Linked DNA regions of Bombyx mori. The protein of the gene in region 1 purifies or fractionates together with the protein of each later gene. This does not show direct contact. Links are inferred from orthologs where the notes say so. Each region holds a gene or a part of one and is shown on either strand. Other genes may lie near its edges.

Region 1 (5,144 bases):
TATTATCTGTCTTTACATACATCTATCATATCTATGGGCTGAGAGTTTCGTTTACATCATAGAGATCCAATACTTGCTCTCAGTATTTAGCAGCAATAGTTAATAAAATAAATAAAAAACATTATTTTAAATGTATAATTGTACACAGAAATTGCAATTTGTTTCTTTAAGCATTTTTATATGTTACTAGCTGTGCCCGTCTGCTTCTCTGGGCATTTAAAATAAACATTATTATTTCTCACCCCCATAAAGATTCTCATCGTCAACACCCCCACAACTGGTGTAGGGAGTCCAACACTCATATAAATATTAGCCCATCTATTAAGTACATGTATTTTCTACATGGATACTAAGTTTCAAGTCAATCGGATGCATGGTTCAGTAGTTATAATGGAACATCCGTAAAAACCACTGTAGTGTATATTAAGTATAGAAGTATAGATTTTGCATCAGCAGACAGCCTCTCATACCTTTTCAGCTTCATATTCATCGACAAACCCAGCTTTCTCAGATTCAGGCAGGTCCCTCCACATGCCGCCTATTATACGTCCAATTTCCCATAGTTTGAGGTCTGGATGTGCTGCTTTTACACTGTCCCATACACGGCGTGAGTACCTCATGTACGGCATGAGAGGTTTTTCTGGAGGTTTTGGTGGCTTTGGTAGTCCGGCTCCCTGGGGTAGTAATAAATATGGTTTGTTATATAGGAAACAAAAATTTTATAAGTTAAGACAGTTTTTGGTATTTGTGGCTTTTTGTATTAATGTAAAGTGTATTTTGAATACAGTAACAAATAGTGATACAGATTATACTTACAACACCAGCACCTTTCCCGATTTTCTGAGGTTGGAATCCAGGATGTGAATGTACGGTGGATACAAATGGACTTGTCTTATCATCTTTGGCACCTTGTGAGGGCTGTGAGGCGGAGGCCGCGCGGCGGGCGCCCTCTGCAGCGAAACGGCCCTGTTGCTGGGGGGCGTGCCACGGGCCGTAGCCCCCCGGGGGACCCGGGTGAACCATGCCCCCCCCACCTTGGTATTGCGGGTGGTACTGATATTGGTTATGGTGCGGCGACGGTGCATTCATACCGCCTTCAAGCCAAGCAGCGGGCGGCAATACAATGAAAGAAAAAAAAAACAAAAAGCGTAAAGGAGCAGGACGGGAGGGGAGCCAACAAAAATTCAAATATGCACTAAAACATCTAGAAAAATTAAAAAATAAACGTTAAGAAAGTTATTTGCGAGCAATCTAGCTGTAAATTTTTTAGTAGGCTTTAATTAGCGAAAGACTAAAGAGGTGATGGCTTGTGTCGTTGAGAGAAGAGAAAAATTTTGTGCAATTATCTTTTTTAATAACCCCACAGAAATACCTAAGTTTTGAAACGAAAATGGGTGTGTGATACAAAATTTTGAATAGAAAGTCAATTTAGATTGTGGCATTACCTTTCATCATGCCGAAACTCATTGGGGGGCCCGCAATCATGTAGTCTGTATCATTATAACAAAACATGAAACAAAACCAACATAATGGAATGTAAGTCTAAAATGCATTAGGATAAAATTAAAGTAAGAAAAAAATAAGTTTTGTTACTGTAGCTTAAAAGCTAAGATATGGGAGTCATGCTCTAAGTAAAAAGTTTAAATGCAGTTAGATACCAGCTATATCAGGTACAGTTCTCAGCACTGCCAAGCTTGCAATGGCGACAACTTCACATGTTAATGAAGTTAGTATCTAACAACATTCTTACTAACAATAAACAATCTATTTGATAAAATACTATAACTATTGCCATTAATATTTTATTAAAAAAATCTAAACGTAATTAGCACTGCTATCATTACATTAGCTTATTACTAACTTATTTCTTACTAATTTATAATTTAAAATATACAGTGTAATGTGTTGATTGCCATCTTGTCCCTCCATTATTTTGCTGCAAGAAAACTCACAGCATATCAATGTAAATATGAAGAGGTCTCAGGAAACATTTAAATCAGATCAGACTTAAATTAAGAGAAAATCCAACAAAGTTTATATAAAAGGAAACATTTTTAAAAGATTAGTATTATCTAGTTTTTAAATAAAATTAGCTGTTTAGAACATATCATTACAAATTCAATGGCAGTCAACATTCACTACATTAATAATATTTAAAATTTAATAAAATATATATTTAAATTTTTTGTGATTATAGTTGGTAATACAAACGCGGATTGCTCTGAGGACTGGGCATTGACATCGAAGTGTTTTGTTTGTAATTGTTTTGTGTAGCCATTGGCACACCTGAAACCAAATTTTGAATTTATTCCAAAACAAGCATATTTATTGGCTTATCATTCTTTATTTTTTGTACTCATAGTTTATGAGCTAGTGTCATAGTCATATTATACATTTTATAAAACAAGTCTCACACCATTACAAACTCAATACTGGTGAAACTACTTCACAAGCACTTCTTGTTCAAATTTTTGGGATGTATATAATTACAGAAAGAACACCAGCTGTATAATGGGGATTATTTAAAAAATGTATTGCAGTTATGGCAATTTAATTTCAATCCCCTCGTTTGCATTTTATTAAGTTTCATTTAATGATTTCTAGTCTACATAAGGTGTTTGGGAAAACAAACAAAAATATATCCTTAATCTGTACTTAATACTTTTAATTAAAATGTTATAGGTGGAAATCACAAAACTGAAAAAAACAAGAGACGACGTCGATATTGAAAGTCAGTTCTTTTTTATTCGCTTCATTTTATAACCACTTTGTTGAAGGGAGGCTGAATGACTAATATTACAAATGATTAAATTGGAGTCTTATTTGGATAGGCTAATATAAAGAGGCTATGATCACGCTGTGTTTGCATTGTTAAACATCTTAATGAAAATGCCAACAGTACGGATGTATTTGAATTTAAAGATAACTTAAAATGTTTAATTTTTTTGAATGAAATTGCTTGGAAATAATGCAACAATTATTTTGTAAGTCTGTTTACTTTTTTGTTGTAATACGAACAAATCCGCTATCAAGATACATTGTTTATAAAAATAAAGTTTTATGCAACCATATTACTTACTTACTTATTTAGTAAAAACCAAAGAGTAAAGTAAGTTAAAACTTAATAAATGATGTATCGTACTACCTTATCGCTTTTATTGAAAGTTCAAGCTTGGTTTAATTTTTAAAAGGCTCGATAATGGCAACGCGTCTTTTTCATTAAAATACTAACGGGCCTATTTCAATCTCCATCTTTCATTCCATTTTTAATTTAATTGAACCAAATGACAATTGACGTTGTCAACGTAGATTAGAGTAGAGCAATTTATGGTATCAAATGTAACACATAGTTTTGTTAGTCGATTATTAAATTGTACGTTCATTCTAAGGTCGTTTTAAAATGTTGATTTTGGATCTCTTCGCGTTTAATTGTGTAAAAATTGTGATTTGTTAACTATTTGGCATTAGTGAAAGTGTATGTACAAATGTGGGAAAATTAAACACAAGCCACCGAACGTGGCATCTCTGGTTTTTCGAAAAAATCCACCGAACTTTCAGTAAATAACCACTATTTTGCTGCTCGTGGGTTGTTAGGTCTCTTTGGAGGCGCTCGGGCAGTTGTTAGCAAATCCTGGCTGAGTGTTTGCTCGCCGATCTGTCCTGGCGAAATTGAAAAGGCCTCCGGGCCACCAGTAATCTCTCAATCCTAAAAAAACTGTATTTTACGGAGACTTTACTTTTTTTTATCCCATTTCATGTCGTCTCTTTTAATTTCATCCCAATTGATTGAAGACTCAAATTAATGAAGTTAATCTCATATCGCACAGCATTTTTCATATAACGGAATAATAGAAGCTTTTATATACTCTGTATGTAGAAATCTTTTAAATTAAACTAAGATAAAAGAGAATGTAACTATTGGCCATAAATAAACATTAAGAAAACAAATGTCAGATTTAAAAAAAAAAGAAGAAGAAGAAAGAAGCTGGTTTGGAAGATAAAATGCCAACACAACGATACACGATAAAGGGGGTAATCGGATCGCGTTGTTGTTATGAAAAAACGTTACATTGTCTTCTTTTTTTTTACTTGCAAATAACGCCCTTGATGATTATTGTTGCTATCGTCACACACAATTTACATTAGAGCAATACCTACGCTAATGGTAAATACATAAAGATAATAACTGCTAGAATGCAGTTAGTTTCTTCAAAGCGCACTGAACAAATTTTTAAATTAATTTATTAAAAAATTAAATGTTATTTAAGTCACACCAAAATACATTATAAATACATGCAATGGTCATATAAACTCATTCACAACGAAGGGCTGTTTTGACTATGGGCGGAGTGCAAGTGAGCATTCATGGATTCGATAAAAGCTATCTAGCATATGAAGCTAGGGTACCTTTTAATATTATTCCGAGATAGGTGTGGCTTGACATTGCGAAATTAGTAGATGATAATAATGCTAATTGTCATGTTACCAGGTTTCATTGTTTGAGCCTATCTGTACATGTATAAACTAAGGCTACGTATTGTGTATGACTTATGTCTGCGGCTTTGGAAACAGAGTATTCAGATTCACTAGTGCGGGACAAACACGCTGATCGAGACTGTGGTTTTTTTTATTGCTTAGATGGGTGGACGACCTCACAGCCCAATTATATAATTGTGTACTATTGTTTTAATTCAGATGGTCCAACTCGGCTCTGTCTTCAGTTCTTCTTCGCTAGAGGCGGCGTACGAAGGGAAGCTGTTCCAACTCCATACAAATTTGATTTAATTTCTACGCGATCGAGCAGTTAAAACCCTCGCACTAAGCACACACGAGGTAGATCGTTGGCGACGTCCATCGATGGAAAACTGGTAACGATTTACATAATCTACATAAATCAATCGCTTTTTTAACGTTTCCATTATAAGACTAAATCTAAACGTATTTTAACTAAAAACTCGTTATTAAGATCCTAGAGGCTCCTTATTATCTAGAGGCTATTAAAGACATTTTCATCTTGAGTGAATTTAATCATGCAACATTGTTATAACTACTTTTACTGGTGGTAGGACCTCTTGTAAGTCCGTGCGGGTAGGTACCACCGCCCTGCCTATTTCTGCCGTGAAGCAGTAATGCGTTTCGGTTTG
Region 2 (4,768 bases), on another chromosome or scaffold:
TACCTACCCGTACGGACTTCCAAGAGGTCCTACCACCAGTGATTACGCAAATTATAATTTTGCGGGTTTGATTTTTATTACACGATGTTATTCCTTCACCGTGGAAGTCAATCGTGAACATTTGTTGAGTACGTATTTCATTAGAAAAATTGGTACCCGCTTGCGGGATTCGAACACCGGTGCATCGCTACACACGAATGCACCGGACGTCTTATCCTTTAGGCCACGACGACTACAAATGACTTTCGGTTTGCCTAGAATCTCCAGGCCTACATGCAACTTCAGGTCCTTTGGGTTTTTTTATGTTTCATGGGGTGTACGTAATGTGAGATATTTGGTTCAGGTGATCCTACCATCTACTTTTTACTACCTACCATGACATTATATGAACTCCCAGCATAATTTTCCTGAAGAAGAGTTCTTGTTCAAATGTGGTTTGTTATGAGTCCTGAGCGGTAGTCTTGGCTACGCTGAGTTGGCATTAACGACGGTAACTTTACCCTCATGTGGGCCGTTATAAATCCTAGTTCAATAAAACCAACTTTGATAATGCAAAATTTTTTCTAATTAATAACTTTCAGTACTGTAACATATCTACAAATTATTCTAATTAATCCAATTCAATGACTGTTCCTTGATAGCATGCGATGGATTTAAAAATATAATTGTTACAAAAATCACAAGTCTTTAAATTAATGATGATGTAACATAGTGATGATCATTGATATCAAACAGCCCCAAATTTTTGCATTAAGTGAATTCAAAGAGCTGATAAAGTTATTTGATCAATTTTGATCCTTGTATTATTTCAATTGTTCATTTTAGTAGGATACTGTAACGAATTAGTTATTGTAGTATGTAAAATTTTTGAATTAAAACAAAATATCACTCACTATATTTTATTTTCAAATTATTAGAATGTAGAAGTACACTTTAATAGGTTTTGGGGTTTAAACCTAAGCATATTTATTATAAGGTTTTAAAAATATGCAAATCATTGCTGGGCAGGAGGTTGGAATCCATAACCTGGGTACGGTTGTGGATTACCAGGAGGTGGAGCACCAGGAGCGGGTGCTCGTGTGTAAGGATAAGGGGAGGGTGGATACTGTGCTGGTGGATATCCCTGTTGATATGCATGCGGTGGATACGCACCTCCAGCTGGTGGATAATTTTGAGGTGTTTGAGCATAGGAAGTAGGAGGTGGAGCAGTGGATACTGAAGGAGCTGGACTCCCAGGTTGCGAGGAAGGGTTTGAATAAGGTTGTGTAACAGGTGTATAAGGTGATGGTTGTGAAGGAGCCTGATATTGTTGTCCAGTAGGACCACTTGGTGTTTGTCCACCAGATGAGGCAGTTGTAAGGACACTACTTCCATGGGGACTAGTATTATAGGTTGGTGACTGGGCAGATGGTGATCCATAAGTGGAACTTGTAGGATTCTGTTGAGAATAATTGTTTGGGGGTTGAGGAGAACGGTTAGGCTGAGAAGTTGATGTTGAACTATATGCAGATGTTGGAGTTGTATTTGGAAATGGTTGTGACTGGTATGGTTGTGGTGGTTGAGCAGTTGAATTATAAGTACTTACACCAACATTAGAATAATTTGAGCCAGCTTGACCTGGAGGATATGTGGAATTTCCAGTGTATGGTGGTTGAGATGAGCCACGCACAGGATATGGAGCACCAGCTGAAACTGGGCTACCAGAAGGTGGTGCATAAGGTTGTTGAGACGAAGAAGGTGGATAGTTAGATCCTGGATGAGTAGATGGTGGATAGTTATTTGGAGTTGTTGTAATTGGTGGACCATAATTAGAGTTCGGAGGATAGCCTTGGGGTTGGGATGGATTAGGTGGAGCATATCCTTGATTATTAGAGCCATATCCCGTTTGTGGAGGGTACCCTCCAGGTGCATTCTGATACTGGCCTTGATATTGACCTTGACCATAAGGTCTTTGAGCATATGATTGAGTTGGTCTTGTTGGTGTTGAACTAACACTTGAAGGTTGTCTGTAGGCTTGTTGACCACCAGCAGATGCATCAGTTGCATTGGTTGGGGGATTTATAGGTGGAGATTGAGATACATTTCCGGTGGCTAATTGATGAGGAGGCTGAAAGTAAAAAAAACAACTAATTCTATATATTCTTTCAGTACAAAATAACTTTTAAGTAGAATATCTCATCAGATAAGCCCTTTGATGAACCAAACCATATAATCATGGAATGGAACAGGCTGCCAGAAGTTGTATCAGCACCTAAATTGAACTACTTTGTGAACAAGCTAGACTAATTATCCTAATTTCAAGATACACAAATCATCTCTAGTGTTTAACATAATGAAAATTAATAGATTATTTTGCTTTATTTGATTCCTTTCTGTCACTTTCTCTCAACTAATCAGAATTTTTCCATTTCAAACAAACATAAATTTTATTGTTTTAAATAATGTCTCCACTGAAAATAAAGTCCAAAAATCCACGTTCATTCCGGTTTGAAGGGTGACGCCTTCGTTATGTTAAAGGAGTCCGCTAAACACCAGGTTGGCCATGCCATGTATGTCTTAATGAAGTAATAAAAAAATGTTACCGGTAAAATGCTCTGTATATTTTGGTTAGCGTCAGCTACAGATGCGAGATAAACCAAGTTCCTGTGCAGTATTTGCTGATATTGGTGACATTCCATTATTTGCCCTTTTGCTTGGTATTCTTGTATTGTTTGTATTAGATGAGCATTTTCATCCAACATTTTTTGTATTTGTGCCGGACTTAAAGGAGGACGATTTCCTCGTGCCGCAAACGCTACAGACATTGTGTAATTTAAAATATTGCTATTATTCCTCTATTACATAGCACTTCAGGTAGAAAATTCATAGATTTTTAATTTACTTGATTTTATTTTTTGTTTGATTTGTTCAGAAATTGGACAAACCAAAGAGTTTAATAGCAGAGTAGGGGCAGAGGGAACATAGGCTATACGAAAGTTAGATGCAAAAGCTAAAGCACTGAAAAATAAAATAAATCATAACGCAAGAATTATCTTTATTTTTGATTGAAATTGTATAAAGAGAATTGAATAAAATAAACTAATTAAATTAATTTGTCGGCTAAATAGGAGTAATTTGCTGAGACTTTTAGAAAAGCTACTTGTGGTAGGGCGTGTTTTGAGTCCGTACGAGTTAGTAACATTATTCTTTAATGTCGTAAGATTCATTCTATATACTATCATTGTGTAAAATTGCACAAATGCTTATTACGGAAAACAAATCGAAAGATGAAGTTTGTCGGGTTCTACAAAAAAACCATGTGACAATTTATTTAGTAACTAAATTTAGAACAGTGTAATCAGAAGCTTCTAAATTTGCTTCTGAATTCAGTCGACTAAATTTAGCCAGTGTAATAAGCCTTTAACCTTTGTCTCAAAATCAATTTCATTTCATTCACAATTTCGTCTTTTTTTCTCTCCTAACTATTCACTGGGATATTAAGAGGCTATTCCAGCTACACCCGGACGGGTAAGTGAGCTCCCGAACTCATCGTCGTAATCGACGAGCTCTGTGACCGATGCTTCAGGGTCCTAAAAGTACCGAGAGTCAATCCGGGGGATCCGAAAAGACATATTTCGGGCAACGGCGCCTTGCGTTGCCCAGTCGCGGTCGGATAAGTAATTAGCGGCGGCCACGATAAGAGGGTTATCGGATCGCCCCGCTTTGACGAAGTAGCGTTCTGGCGCTTCCGTAAGATGCTTACGAATCGGTATTAGATTCAGGTCATCGTGAAGATCTACGTTCCTCATATGCTACGGTTCTCTGACGGCTATCCTTAAGAAACGGGGTTTTATTACATGGAAAGGGTTAATGTGTGTACGGGCCGCGTGAGCAAACACTACACTTGCATAGGTCGTGACAGAACGTATGCAAGTTTTGTAGAGTAATACTTTGTTATGAAGGCACAATTTTTACTTCGCTTGCAGGTCATGGGGTAGAAGAACGCGGGTCGGTCGCGTACTGACTTAATGTGGGACCCGAATGTCATCCCCCTGTCGAAAGTGACGCTTTAGTAGTTAGCTTTCGAAGTCCACGGTATGGGCTGGCCAAGGATTTTAATAGCGGAAATGAAGTTACCGCGCCTAATTGGTGATAAGATACTAGCAGTAGTCTCGGGAGGACGACCCCTTTTGGAGAGCACGGCTGTGATTTTTGTGTGGTTGATATCAATGCACCAATGTGCCACTTCCGGAACCACTATCCTAAATTGGTGGCCACGATTTGGAGTTTACTATGCATGAACGACATCTTCCTACTCGTGTAAATCGGGCGGGCGACCGAGGTGTATCGTCAATAAACAGGCTAAACAGTAGCGGGGAGAGAACGGAGCCTTACGGGACTCCGGCCGAGATATGTCGCGGGAGAGAGCGAGTTTCCTCGACTCGATATTGAAACGAACGGTTTGACAACTCAAGTCTCGACAAGTTAAGACAAGTCTCGTACGATGAGCACGAGACTGTCTGGCATGACCATGTTAAACAATTCGTAAATTAAGCCGTTGTGCCAGACTTTGTCGAACGCCTTCACGATATCGATGAAGAGGGCTCCCGTGGTGACGGGCCTGCATCTATTTAGCCCTACTAAGATGTCCTCCGCGAGGCGGTGCACTTGCTGAATGGACGAATGTTTCGCACGGAATCCGATCTATTCGTCGATCAGGATACCTTTCGAGGTGATGAAGTCCCAAAAGCGATTACGTAATAGTCGCTCGTGTAATTTGCCTAATACT
Region 3 (3,157 bases), about 1.6 Mb from region 1:
ACTCTTTATTTTTTTATTTTTTTTAATCTTTACTTATTACAAACACAAAAAAGATAAAGCAAACGGAACTTCGTTCGAATTAGTTGTCAATGAAACATAAGTCTCTATTGTTTTTTTTTTTCTCAAACTTACAGTAGAACAAGTTTCATTCATACAAAACAATTATCATTATACCTTACTTTATTAAAAAAAAACTATACTTAAAGTCTAGATCCACTCGTTCGCGCACTAATAAGACATATACACACAATCGAACGTGACCCGTTTAAAAATTTCATAAAATACTGATCATGTATTAGACATACAAAATGACAGTTCGTGTTGCGCCACGCTTAAGGCCGATTTTATAGGACGTTAAAGAGAAAAAAAAAAATTTTATTTCTTGTTGTGCCACGCTTAAGGCCGATTTTATATGACGTTAGAGAAAAAAAAATTTTTTTTTTTCAACGCGGCTCTGCTTTTCACACGTCCGCTCAGGGCTTGTGCCCATTAAGCGATTCTCATATGTTGTTCATGTCGTACAATACTTGGGCGATCGTGCGCGAGGCTTCGACCGTGCTGAGCGCGATCGCGGACAAATGCGATTCGTACGAACGCAATTGCCTGAAACAACGTAAATAAATAAGGTTTTTTTTTCCTACCTAAGCTGATAGCCTTGAGAGGCTATATAAGCGTAACCTTAACTAGTAAGTGACCTCAAACCGGAGTGTTGCTAACACTGGCCCTAGCAAGAGCAGTGCTTCGCAAAATCTACCACCGGATCGGAAATGCAAGCCACTGAGAAGATCCGGCGAGAAACTCAGTGGGCTGTGTCTGTGGGTTAATTCACTCGTCGAACCCTTAGTCGCAAGCGACGGGTTTGAAGAGGACGGTGACCGGTGCTTGTGATGCCTAAAAGCACCGTTAATGGATCAGGAGGATCCGTAATGACGTGTTTAGGACCACGTCGACTGTTTACCATTCCACCGGATCGGGTATGAAAAGTCGGAGATAACAACATATTTAAATTTAAAACTCACCGTCTTCCTGTATTCGAATAAATGACGATATTCCTCAGGATGAGGGCGGCCGTCAATCTAATGCTCTTCGTTACGGGACCTTCATTTTCGTCCTGGATCAACACAAAAATACATTACCGAGGACTTTCCACATTAACAATACTATTTAAAAAACAAACAAAAAACGACATCGTCAAATCGTAAATTTAACAACAAAAATATCTTCACACCATTTTATTACATATAATTTCCCAACCTATAAGAGCATGCATGTTTCATGAAAAATCTAGTTTTTTTTTTGTTGTCTATATATCATATTTTTATTTAACAATTGTAGTTGTATACTTCTATATTTGCGTAATAACTTTCCGAAAGCATTCAATGAAAGCACGAACGAATAAAGAACCAATAGATACAAAAGTTTGAGATTAGCAAAGCAAGAAACACGATAATGGAGCCGACATGTAGATCAATCTCTTAATAATCTATACTAATATATAAATCTACAGTTGTTTTTACGGATTTTCCGTTATAACTACTGAACCATGCATCCGATTGACTTGAAACTTGGTATCCATGTAGAAAATACATGTACTTAATGGATAGGCTAATATTTATATCAGCATTGGACTCCCTACACCAGTTGCGGGGGCATTAATGATGAGAATCTTTTTGGGGATGAGAAATAATAATGTTAATTTTAAGTGCCCAGCGATGCGGACGGGTACAGCTAGTTATAGTATAAAGACAGTTGGACGTCACAATCCCTTCCCGTCCCATCACCCACCTCGATACACGTACTGGAAGGTCTCATTTGTGTTGTATAAACGACTAACCCGCCCTTCTTATCTAAACTAAAGACTGTTATGGAGATTTTAAGGGCAGGGTGGCGGTAACCACCCGTATGTTCCGCAAGAAACCCTAACATTGACAAACCGTGTAACTCACTTTTGTACACAACGTTACGTTAAATTCAAATCGATTATTATTACATTTAAAAACCGAATAAAATCGATATTTCTTAAAAACAAATACTAGTCACATACTGATATTTTAAAATCGCCTCAGAAAAGTTTTTTTTAACGAATCGCGTGTAACTTTTTGAGTCTCTTTATTCCGCAGTTTCAGGTATTTTGCGGCGTAGTTCCGCTAGATTTTGTATTGGCTATTCAGTTAACCGAGTTAAATGGATTTTTGTTTTTATTTTTCCCTGAATTAGTGAAACGAATTAGGTTGTAATTCGTCGCCCCGTACCCACTTGACATTGAGTTTCGGGGCAGTTTATTATATATTGTATCATACAAGTGTGTGTAGCGATGTCAACGTCAGAATCGATATATAGCCCGTTATATAGAAGTTTTTTTTAATTCACATAGAAAGATTTTTAACGTTTTCCATCCGTATGACACATCGGTTGAATTACTGGTGGTAGTTTACGTCGTAGATGTCTATAGGCTCCAGTAACCGCTTAACATCAGGTGGGCTGTGAGTTCGTCCACTCATCTAAGCAATTAAAAAAATTTAAAAAGTATTTTTCTTTCTTTCTTTTCTTTTTCCATTTTTTTTCAAATGATCTACCTAATCAAAACTCAAAACTTCGTACACAGCTCAGAGTTGGATGAAAATAATGGAAGTAAATTTCATACTTAAGCCTCGTGTTTTAAAGGTGTCACTAAAAACTATATTACTTATTCCTGTTTACTTTCGTCTAGGGCCCGGCACATCTAGTGCTATTGACAGAATTTCATAGACGCAACTTTTTTTTTCCTACCTATGCAGATAGCCTTGGAAGGCTATTACAGCTTCGCCCTAACATGTAGGTGAGCTCACGGGGTTCAAACCGGAGTGTTGCTAACACTGACCCTAGCAAGAGCAGTGCTTCGCAGAATCTACCACCGGATCTGAAACGCGACCCACTTAGAAGATCCAGTAAGAAACTCAGGGGGCTGTGTCTGTGGGCTAGTTCGCTCGTCGAGCCTTCGTCGCAAGTGACGGGTTCGACAAGGACGGTGACCGGTGCTTGAGGTACCTAAAAGGACCGTTAATGGATCGGGAGGATCCGTAATGACGTGAGTTGGGCGACGCCGACTATTTACCATTCGGGCTACAGGATTGGGTATGTAATTCCCAGCGGCCACGGCAAGAGGGTTCTCATGTCG
Region 4 (4,405 bases), on another chromosome or scaffold:
TACGTCAGCATGCGAACCTTGGCTATTACTACTGCTATTTGTACCTCCGGGGGACATGACGCCGCTCCGCACCGCCGGCCGCGGCTTCTTCGATGACAGCATGAAATTCCTAAATCAAAAAATTATTAATTTATTATAAGTTTTTTTTTGTAAGCGGTACATATTTGCTTTGTCATCGAAGTTCGACCGTAATCACTGGCATCTAAGATATACTTTCGTTTTACTTGCTTTGTTACTTACAGTTTTTATTGTAAGGTTCATTAAAAAAAAATGTTCCCAAATGTGTTATAGTAAAAAAAAATTGAAAATCTGTTCAAAAATCGAAAGTGAAAACTGATTTTGTTTGTGTAACAGCTTGTCCGTGAGGTCCGGTTTATTTATTCATCTTCATCAAAACATATTGCGCCAGCTTGAACGAAAATGTTCTACGAGACTGACAACTTCTCGGTACATTGCGGGTTCACTGTATAAAATCATAATAATAATAATAACATGATAAATAATGAATCAAAGATAAAAATTTTGGATGATCAAAAGCTTCTGAAGTTTGTGGACGCGATCACGCAAACGCTGCGTTAAGAACGTGAAGCTAAATCTAAGGCCGGACATTGCGGTGGTATATATCGAGGGGTGAAAAGCTAGAAAGGTGCTTTAAGCGACCTTTTAGCAACTTCACAGGGGAGCCATTTAAAGTTTAAAATATCATAATAAAAATTTAGTTGCAGACTATGGGAGAGGCTCACACCGAGCAGTGGAGAGATACAGGCTGATGATGAAGCGAAATGTTGCTTTAACTAAATAGACTTTCGCCTCTCGATATATGTGCGTGTGTGTGTGCATGTGTGTGAGTGCATGTGTGTGTGTGTGTTTGTTTGTTTGTGTGCGCGCGCGCGTGCTCGTGCGTGTGTGCGTGCGTGCGTACCTGGAGCGTTCATGCACGGCCATGAGTCGTCCGTTGCCCTTGTTGACGTGCAGGTCGCGCACGTGTCGCAGCAGGCGCGGCAGGTTGGGGAAGGGCGCCTGCCCCTTGCGCACGCGCGCGCAGTTCCGCCACAGACAGGGGTACTCGCTGAACGAGCCGCGGTAGTGTTGCTGGATGTGCCCCGCTGCGTTCACGCATGTTCCCGGCGGACCACATTGTGGACGTTCATTAACAACGCCGCACTCGGGCCCCGGGGCCGCACCGAATCATCGACAAATTTCGACGACTTCATACGTAATAAATACTACTGTTTTCGTTTGCACGTTAATCGTCGAATATTTGTCGAATGTTTTCAATGCAGTCCCGTATGTTACAAATTACTTTAAACTTTAAATAAATTACGTTGAAGTTGTTTTGATCGACACAAAAAAAGGATTTTGTTATTATATATTGTACTATTTAAAATTTTAACATATCGTCGTTGTAAGCCAAAATCTGCTATGTGCACTTTTCGTATAGTTCACAGCCCTGTCTACCGTATAAGAAAAACTGTTATGTGTCTATAGCTTTAATACTTCATCTATAGCTTTCATTTGATAGAGTTCATAAAAATTCACCTTCATATAAAAATTTCATACGAAAATGTTTTTTTTACTCGTTAATTCAAAATAGAGTTTTTACACATAGCAGATTTTGGTTTGACAACGACGTTATTCTGATTAGGTACTATTAATTAATCTAAACTTTGCTCGTAATAAAATAAAAACTAATTTTTTCTAAGCAAATTTGAGTCGACTATTATCAAAGCCGGCAATGTGACTTTTGGACAATTATTGGTAAATCAGAAAAACGAATTATTGACTTTGTATTCCATTGGTAGTCACAAAACTCTTCCGAACGACATCTTAGATAAATAACAGGTTAACTATTAACCTTTATTTAATGCAGATTTTGAACCGTATTCTTTGAAGGAGACGATTATATTCAAATCAATCTGTATTGACATATCAATAACATTTTTTTGTCCAAATGCACAGATTGCCACCTTTGATAATAGACGACTCATTTATAAAATTTAGCTGCACATTTTTAGAGTTGTGTAGTTGAGTATCACCGTTCCAACGATTTCAACTTGATACTTACGCTCTAGTTTAGGTCTTTTCGGTTCTAGATACGTTCCGATCACTGGCAGCGTTTTAAAGTACGAACAAAAAACACATTAGCAAAAGTCTATCTAGCTCCCATACGAGAACGCAAGTTGAGTCAGAGAATAAAATAAACTTTTAATACTGAATTTAAGACATACAATACAAACAGAGTGAGTAGCATAGAAACAAACAAAAAAAAAAGGGTGCGTGTGCTTATGTAAGAAGTTATACTTCATTTTTATTAAAATTATTTCTTTTTTTTTTTAAATATTCAATGATTAATAATAAATATTTAACGTTAATAATTTAATAATATTTAGTATGAATTATATGAAATAATTTTGTATATGTGTAGAAGTATAACTTCAAAAATTATATCATTTGTTTCGCCTTGTGATGGGAGATCAAAGTCTAAATTACTTCCTATTAATTTTAAAATCCCTTAATTTACTTGACGGAATGACTGTAATGAATAGACATGATATTTCGAGAAGAATCTACTCGAATTTCTTAGAAGTGTTTTTTTTTAAGCCTAAGCACTTTTCAAAGCTTCCAAATGAAATGTGTAAAATGTAAAGATATTTACTGTTTCCTCCGTCGCCGATGCAGTGCTCCATGCAGTCGGTCAGGTCCTCGAACTGACAGTCGCACGTGTCCCAGGCGCATTCGTACGTCATCTCCATTGTTGTCTAAAAATATTAATACATTCACTAAATTAATGTCTATGTTTTCATTAAAGTATATTGCATAACGCTGACCATTTTATGACTGGTTCTTCTTTGACAATCAAGTGTTAAGGTGCGAGCTTGAAAACCTCTACAGTGGTCTGTCTGTTATAAGAATCATGCACGTTCCGGGAGTGTGCTTACTTTTTTTTTTAAGTGAAACTTCTAATGTGACTTCCAACAAGGTTGCGTTAAACGTTTAACTCTGCCATGGAATAGAAAGAGACAGAGCGAGAGTGAATGCGTGTCACTCGAGCGCAAGCGCATAGTATTCCTGTTACAACGAGTAGCGTCCAATATTTTAATGAAGTATTTAAAAATATATATATTTATTTTTCTATCTATAATTTAAAATATATATAATATAAGTGTTGAAGATGACGTATCTTTTATACACAGCCTTCTCTATTACAAGAGCAATCTGATTTAAGGATGAAAACCACATTACTACACATCAAAAAAGAAGTTTCACTTCATTCACGTGCACGGTTTTTTTTTGTTTTTTTTTTAAGACATGGATCACTTGTAGCCCGGGTGCCTTTCCAGTTTCAACAGGGTTGTGTTTACTCAGTACCGCCGATTCGGGGCCAATGTTATAGTCATCGAGATTCGTCATCATTGATATGATCATACCCGATCCTGTGGACCGAATGGTAAACAGTCGACGTCGCCCTAAGCACGTCATTACGGATCCTCCCGATCCAGTAACGGTGCTTTTAGATACTTCAAGTACGGGTCACCGTCCTCGCCGAACCCGTCGCTTGCAACGAAGGGCTCGATGAGTAAATTAACCCATAGACATAGCCCACTGTGAATCTAGAATAACTCCTCGAGGTTTCTAGAATAGGTAGGAAAAAAAGTGTGTGACTGACTATCCCACTACACAGGAGCATACATATGGACAATGTTTAGTAGACGATAGTGGGGATACTACGAAGAGTCGCAAAAAGAGGAGACCGACAACATCTAATGTGTTCTATCTCATTCTCTCGCCGGCTGAATCCTATACATTTATGTGTTTGTGTCTCTATGGACTTATTTTTTCGTTTCATCGAGTTTGAAATCGCAACGATCCTAAAGAAGTTTCACTTCGAAATAGATATGATTGTAGAATGGCATTTCTTGTCGTTAGAGGACGATGCAAAAGGTATTTGGGTCGCTGTTTGGCGGTTGTTTGGGCACTAACGTGTTGCGCCAACTCGCGCATCTCGTCGGCGAGCCTGGCGGCGGTCTCCTCGTTGCAGCGCGCGGCTCGCTCCTCCCAGCTCTGCTTGGTGGCGGCGGGCAGCGAGCGCCACTCGTTGCCCACGATGCGCGATATGTCGCCTGGCGGAATCATTCAAAGCGAGCCTTAGCCCAGACGTACCTTCGTGTTAGGGTTGCGCGACATAATCTTTCTCGTGCCTTCTCTTTCTGCGGTCCGGTTCGGGGGAGCGTAAAAAATTAACGAGAGAAATTATGTCACGGTTCATATTATTAATCGTTTTTTTTTTTCAAAACTACGTAACGAAAAATTGTTTTTAATATACAATGCTATCTACTAAATTTTAAATGCGGCATACATTAATTAGTTCGCGCTAATTTAGAAAAGAAAATTAACCGTCTAGATT

What was found.
Region 2: the proteins of SWI/SNF-related matrix-associated actin-dependent regulator of chromatin subfamily E member 1 (region 1) and protein SSXT purify together in Homo sapiens (affinity purification with mass spectrometry; 4 studies listed by BioGRID and IntAct, counting the BioPlex papers as one, with this or other methods). This does not show direct contact. The link is inferred for Bombyx mori from reciprocal best matches to the Homo sapiens genes SMARCE1 and SS18.
Region 3: the proteins of SWI/SNF-related matrix-associated actin-dependent regulator of chromatin subfamily E member 1 (region 1) and AT-rich interactive domain-containing protein 2 purify together in Homo sapiens (affinity purification with mass spectrometry; 7 studies listed by BioGRID and IntAct, counting the BioPlex papers as one, with this or other methods). This does not show direct contact. The link is inferred for Bombyx mori from reciprocal best matches to the Homo sapiens genes SMARCE1 and ARID2.
Region 4: the proteins of SWI/SNF-related matrix-associated actin-dependent regulator of chromatin subfamily E member 1 (region 1) and protein polybromo-1 purify together in Homo sapiens (affinity purification with western blotting; 9 studies listed by BioGRID and IntAct, counting the BioPlex papers as one, with this or other methods). This does not show direct contact. The link is inferred for Bombyx mori from reciprocal best matches to the Homo sapiens genes SMARCE1 and PBRM1.

Annotation. Positions count from the first base shown.
Region 1 is NC_085120.1:6,522,976-6,528,119, forward strand, and holds the start of SWI/SNF-related matrix-associated actin-dependent regulator of chromatin subfamily E member 1, read right to left. Parts: upstream 3,305-5,144; 5' UTR 3,146-3,304; exon of another isoform or gene 3,084-3,145; intron 2,287-3,083; 5' UTR 2,279-2,286; coding exon 2,212-2,278; intron 1,491-2,211; coding exon 1,446-1,490; intron 1,095-1,445; coding exon 817-1,094; intron 675-816; coding exon 471-674; intron 1-470. UniProt on the Homo sapiens protein: Involved in transcriptional activation and repression of select genes by chromatin remodeling (alteration of DNA-nucleosome topology).
Region 2 is NC_085110.1:12,910,701-12,915,468, reverse strand, and holds protein SSXT, read right to left. Parts: upstream 3,120-4,768; 5' UTR 2,805-3,119; coding exon 2,583-2,804; intron 2,108-2,582; coding exon 995-2,107; 3' UTR 886-994; downstream 1-885. UniProt on the Homo sapiens protein: Appears to function synergistically with RBM14 as a transcriptional coactivator. Isoform 1 and isoform 2 function in nuclear receptor coactivation. Isoform 1 and isoform 2 function in general transcriptional coactivation.
Region 3 is NC_085120.1:8,117,522-8,120,678, reverse strand, and holds part of AT-rich interactive domain-containing protein 2, read right to left. Parts: intron 1,112-3,157; coding exon 1,020-1,111; intron 604-1,019; coding exon 501-603; 3' UTR 1-500. UniProt on the Homo sapiens protein: Involved in transcriptional activation and repression of select genes by chromatin remodeling (alteration of DNA-nucleosome topology). Required for the stability of the SWI/SNF chromatin remodeling complex SWI/SNF-B (PBAF).
Region 4 is NC_085132.1:4,583,210-4,587,614, forward strand, and holds part of protein polybromo-1, read right to left. Parts: intron 4,122-4,405; coding exon 3,982-4,121; intron 2,760-3,981; coding exon 2,657-2,759; coding exon of another isoform or gene 2,656-2,656; intron 2,108-2,655; coding exon 2,066-2,107; intron 1,124-2,065; coding exon of another isoform or gene 1,107-1,123; coding exon 923-1,106; intron 110-922; coding exon 18-109; intron 1-17. UniProt on the Homo sapiens protein: Involved in transcriptional activation and repression of select genes by chromatin remodeling (alteration of DNA-nucleosome topology). Required for the stability of the SWI/SNF chromatin remodeling complex SWI/SNF-B (PBAF).